2 linked regions of the Kluyveromyces lactis genome follow. The protein of the gene in region 2 interacts with the protein of the main gene of each other region in a pairwise test. Links are inferred from orthologs where the notes say so. Each region holds a gene or a part of one and is shown on either strand. Other genes may lie near its edges.

What was found.
Region 1: the proteins of RAD18 (region 2) and KLLA0_A09757g interact in a two-hybrid assay, tested with the Schizosaccharomyces pombe proteins (2 studies listed by BioGRID). The link is inferred for Kluyveromyces lactis from reciprocal best matches to the Schizosaccharomyces pombe genes rhp18 and hua1.

What each region holds. Positions count from the first base shown.
Region 1 is NC_006037.1:854,843-857,486, forward strand, and holds KLLA0_A09757g (uncharacterized protein), read right to left. Parts: upstream 1,158-2,644; coding exon 564-1,157; downstream 1-563. Other genes in the region: FOL2 (GTP cyclohydrolase I), read right to left, coding at 1-58; KLLA0_A09779g (uncharacterized protein), read right to left, coding at 1,711-2,166; GOT1 (Got1p), read left to right, coding at 2,637-2,644.
Region 2 is NC_006039.1:765,344-768,706, reverse strand, and holds RAD18 (E3 ubiquitin-protein ligase RAD18), read left to right. Parts: upstream 1-1,576; coding exon 1,577-2,860; downstream 2,861-3,363. Other genes in the region: HCM1 (Hcm1p), read left to right, coding at 1-1,065; GTPase-activating protein SED4, read right to left, coding at 3,206-3,363. UniProt on the Schizosaccharomyces pombe protein: E3 RING-finger protein, member of the UBC2/RAD6 epistasis group. Associates to the E2 ubiquitin conjugating enzyme ubc2/rad6 to form the ubc2-rad18 ubiquitin ligase complex involved in postreplicative repair (PRR) of damaged DNA.

The DNA.
Region 1 (2,644 bases), on a different chromosome or scaffold from region 2:
TCAAAGGAGTAGCACGTCTTTCAATCTGAGAGACGTGCGAGATATGTTTGTTTTCCATTATTGAATATAGCTAGCTGTATGGGTTACCTGATATGGGTTACTAATCCATGCAAAAGAAAGACCCTATAAATATGTGATACTGGTCAGACAACGGGACTTGTTGAGAGAAGCCGACAGAAGGAGACACGTACGCACAAACTAACACACAAAACGACAAACTTTCACTGAATTATCCAATCAGTTAAAGCTTGAAAGAGCCAACCCAAAATCGAAAACTTTACAATGGAACAAATGCATATGGTACGCTTTATACCTCTTGTTTCCTATAACTCGAACTCATCGAAATTTTTCACTTTTTGTCATACAAGGAAAAAAAGTAAAACTGTGGAAACACCGTACCATGAGAAGCAGCAATTAGACATGACTAGTTACTCTATCATGTGCTACCTCAGCCAGTACCCTGCTATTGAATGTTGTTAATGGACAAACATGAAATGAATAGAAATTAATTATGTACAATTTTACTTAAACAGTGTAGAGTTTGGGCGAATCAGATGATCAAACTAGTAGGTTGGTCCAGTAAGAATCCTGCCAAGACCGTAGCATACGGGACACGGTTCTTTATCCAAGAAGAATCGTACCCTACCAGTCCCATTGCAATTGTTACACATCATGCCTCCTATGCGACTGTCACCGGGACGCACAACGATAGGTGCTGAGTTTATGACGAAATTCTGTGGTGGCATCGTGACATTAGAGTATACGAACGCAGGTCTTGGCCCTGCACTTGGACGTGGTGGTTGTGCAGGTGGGGGTTTGTAGAATTTCGACCAACATTTCTTACATTTTTGTTGAGTCTTGATCTTGGTGCCAGTGTTCCCGCATTTTTTACAATAATATCCTGGAGGGTACGTCCAGGGTAGTTTCTTATTGCCAGTACTGGTACTGGTACTGCTTGAAAAGGTACTAGTGGAATGATGGTACGCTGGTATGGCATTGCTTGGCCGGGGCGGTCTTGCTGGTGGTTGTGTTGGACGTGGTGGAGGGTTTGGTGGGAGCTGCTGCTGCTGCTGCGAAGCAGCAGCAGTATCTTGTCTCAGCACTTCATCATACGACGGAAGATGCTCATCTGGCTGTATATCTGATTCTGATTTCATTGAAGTATTCTCAAAGTGACTGGTTCTCTGATCTCTGTTCTTTACTGATCCCGATCCCGTTCTCCATACACTTTTCTTTGACTAAATATATGTCCCTTATATATCTTGATCTTTTATATATACGTGATTTATTTGGCAGATGCACCTAAAATGAGGAAACCCTATAGCACGACGGCTGCAATGTGGACGAATCCCGATCCTAAACTGGGCTTTTAGCCATTGATAACTACTGGATGCAGCCAGTGAGTAACTGCGGACTTACAGACAAGGGTCCACTCTTGCCAATGCTCCTACTAATGGTTCTAATGGGCATCAAAGTCAAAGCCTTGATCAGTTCATGTTACCCGGACCATATATACAAATATCCGGGTAACAAACTCATATCTCTGCTCTGGCGATCTCATACTACTGACAAAGGAATCTGTCATCAATCAACAGACACCTGAGAGAGACAAGCAACTTCATATGGTTAGGAGTATCTGACTATGGGCGTTGCAATGCTAATATAAATTAAATTATTTACCTGGGTGTACATGTTATGTAGAATCTCTTCCTAATCCGTTGCATGGGCGGCATGGCTGGCATGGCTGGCATTGCTGACATGTTTACCCAAATGCTTTACTACAGCTACACCTAAGAGCACAACTGTGAGTATAAGACCACGTCTTGCTGGAAACTGCCTTCTATTGAATCTTGACCAACATGTTCTACACCTGCGTTGCGTCCTGGTCTCTACACCGGTGTTCCCGCACCTTCTACAGTAATACCATGGAGGATACGTCCAGGGAAGCTGGTCGATATCAGTACCGGTATTGCAGCTACTGGTAGTGGTGGAATTGGTGGCATTATTTGGTATATCATTGGACGCATCATTTGATTCGTCATTTGGTTCATCATTTGGTTCATCATTTGATGCCTCTTGATGCCGAGAAGCACCGGTAGACGAACCTTGTCCGACTGCTTCGTCATACGACGGAAGAATACCTGATTGTTTAACTGACGCTGCCATTATAGAATGTTGGGTCACGTGCCTAACAGCCAACGGCTCCTTCCAACCTTTCTTCCATGCATCTAGTTAGACATCTGGCTTATGCGTGTCTTATATATCCATGACTCGTCTAGCAGATGAGTGAACCATCATATCCACGCAATAACATGCAAATCCACGGCTCTAAGGTGGAAAAAGGAACCCTAAATGGTGTATAGTAATGGTGGCTTCAAGGGTATAAACCATTGGACTTAATAGCAACGGCCGGTAAATTTGCTGATTCAAAGCCTCGAACGATTTTCGTTACCCGGAAAACACAATGACCGGGTAACACTTCACGTCTTTTCAGTCCAGAAGCCCAATCGCGAAAAGCGATGGGCTTCTGGACGAGCGCAGTAAATATGTGCACATTAACGCATCAAGATAGGCACTGTTTGCCTCTCTATATATGCTCATAGTATTTGATATACACGCAACAATAGCACATAACAATGAGTAG
Region 2 (3,363 bases):
GGGTATGAATCCAAGTTCTTCAAAAATGATGAAAGTTTTTCCATTGATGATTTTAAGGTAAAGCTACAAAGATTCAAGAGTGTGAATTTGGATGATGGTTATGAAGCTGGCAGTACCACGTCCAGTTTTAATGGATCATCAATTGCCTCGTACAATAAGTCGAAAAGGAAAAATAAGTCATTTTCAATTTCTACCATGGATGACAAATCGAGTGATATTGGTGACGCGGGTGATACTTCCTTGGATCAAAGCAGTGACGGTGACGAAGAATCAACTTCAATAACCAATATACCTTCATCGCCACGATTAGGTGATCACGCCGAAGCTGCTGGTCATGGAAGCCATCAGTTTCCGGCTACGGATAAAGACTTCCTGTATTACGAAGATGAAAATATGGTCAAAAGACAAGACTCTAGTCATCTGGTGGGCCCGTTGAAATTTAACCATCGCTCTGTCAGTGCACATAACCATGAATATGATGATTTAATGGTTGCTGCCGTCTCTTCTCCTAAATTCAAAAAATATTCGTGTTCTTTCAACACATCATTTGAACCCGTATCTCCGATGAACAAGCTGCAGCTGCCATCAGTTAACCAGCAAAATTCAAAGACACCTATTAGGGAAAGCTCTGTCACTCCTCTGAAATTCAATATTTTTTCAACACCTAAAGATTTCAATAAAGATGGTCTGAACCCACCGGCGTCTACCAGAACTTGGCAAAGCCCGTCTCGTCTATTTGAAGATTATTATGCGTCATCACCAGTGTTTTTCAGAAACGTAATCAATCAATCTATAGATGATTGTATGATACAGTATGACACAGAAAAGAAATGTATTGATTCTCCCCGAAAGTTGAGTCTCAGAGATCAAACTTCTCCCAAGGAATCCAGTCAATCAGGATTAATTGATCACTCCAAATATTCATCAAACATTCTTTTTGGTGTTGATGTTTGTTCAGTGTGGAAAAGGGCGATTGCTCATTGTAACAGCAATGATGAAGTAGATAGCTATCGAGAAGAGGTAACAAAAAACGATTTGGACCCTCCTTTTGATGGGATGAACTAATGTTTGCTTTCTTTTTCATATAGAGTCTGTCGTTATCTCGATGACCATATTTTTTGTTTTTCTTCACAATCTGCCTGACGCTTGGGTTTCTTTATATGGCTGAGTTATTTGTCTCCTTTATTTCTTTCAATTTATTTCATTCCTGCGTTCAATTATTGTAGTGTACGCGCCTTTCTTTTATTCATTGGTGTCCTTTTTAAAGTATTTTTATTTGCAATAGTTATTGCTAATGTATGTATCATTATATCAATCATATTTAATTCTTACATTTCCTTCTAACCGATATTTACAATCAAAGGATATTATCCTGATAGACCATATGGCTTTGTTATTTGATCTGACTTCGTTTCATCGTTGTTTAATTAGCTCTGAATAGTGCTTCAATATTATGCCATACTTTGTAAATTACTAAAATACGATAAAAAGAAGCTAAAAGCAGATAATCCGAGTTACCTTCTGAAAAGTATCAAACATTAAATGCTGGAGTGCAGAGGAATCAACCAGAACTGTCATGAAGCTAAGTGTACCTGAAACTATATCGAATCCTCGTGATTTTCTTCACACGAGTGTTCCGCAACTTACTGACCTCGATTCACTTCTTCGATGTCATATCTGCAAAGATTTTTTAAAGGCATCGGTCTTGACGCCATGCGGTCATAGTTTCTGTTCCATTTGCATAAGAAAGTACCTTCAGAAAGAGAGCAAATGCCCATTATGTCTCAGTGACCTCACTGAGTCTATGCTACAAAAAGAGTTTCTAGTACAAGAGATTTGTTCAAGTTACGTGAAACTGCGAGGTTCTTTGCAGAAACACTTGACAATATCATCTCAGGAAGAGGAAAAAGATAATGAAATAATAATATCTGACGAGGCAGATACATCTGTAGGTACAAAGAGGGGTACTCCAGATAGCCCATCTTTATCTTCAGTAAGTACTAAAAAGAGAAAACATGATGGTATAACAACGTTGTTAATGAAAAAGAAAACGGATCATCCACAGCGGCAAGAGAAGAAGGCACAATGTCCTATATGCTCCAAGCACCTGCCGCTTTCAGAATTAGAAGGTTCGCATATTGATGAGTGTTTGAACAAAGGTAGTAGTTTGGAGAGATCGGATTCTTTTGAGATTTTGGATGAACGTACACCCTCCCCTTCGATGGAATCTTCGCATCAACCACTAGAAGAGAAGACTAGCCTGCCGTCTTCACATTTGCTAGAGGTAAAAGAAAAGAAGGATATCACGTACCATAACGAGAGGTACTTAAATTCTGGGCTGCTGCAGCAAAAGGAAAATAGATTACCAAGATTGGATTTTCAGTCTTTATCTATGACACAATTGAAACAGAAGCTTGCTTCTTTGGCTCTACCATCAAATGGCACCAAACAGCAAATGGTAGCGCGATACAAGCATTACGAAATGTTATGGAATAGTAATTTTTTAGATTCAATTGATCCTGTTGACGAAAATGAACTTAAACGTCGTCTATCCAGTTGGGAAGCTAAGCACAATACAGACCATTCTTCTGATAGCAATAGCATAACTAACCTTCTCAGGGGTAATAAACGTACTAATGCTATAAGTGCCATGATCAAACTTTTTAAAAGCGATAGATTTGATAGAAAAGGTTGGATGAGACATCACACGTCAACGTTTAAAGCATTAAAATTGGAAGCACAACGTTCCGATAAACTTGCAAAGATGAAGAAGGAAGAGCTCTCCCAGAAGAGTGATGCGAACTCAGAAGTAAGTTCGGAACCTATACTAAAGATTGATCAAACGTCAGAGAATAATTAATAGAATCTAATATTCTCAACTTTTCATTATTTATCGTATATCAGTATATAGTATCTATAATTCATCTTGAATGATGTCAGGAGATTCATTAAGGATATCTTCTCTTCCCTCTAAATTGCGACCTCCAGATTGCGATGGGGCTGATTGTACTCTTGTTTCCTCGACATTGCTATCACTTTGGGCACCCATAATATTTTCTTCGATTTCAGCGTTGGTAGGGTTTAATTCAGTGTCCAATATGTCCGAAGAGATTACAGGTGACTCAAAAGCTTCTATTGATTCAATATTACCGACAGCCTTAAGCTCGTTTAAGTCTGCAGCTGCAATTGAATCATCCATCGCCGATTATGAACTTCCCGATGTTGTTAATTCTTCGGAAACAGTAACTATGAATTCGCTTTCCTGATCCGCTGTTTTGGTAATGGAGGAAGAAATAGTAGTGCTGGATGAGAAGCTCGATTTAGCTTCTGTATCCTTTTCGGCAGATGAAATGTCTGATTCTT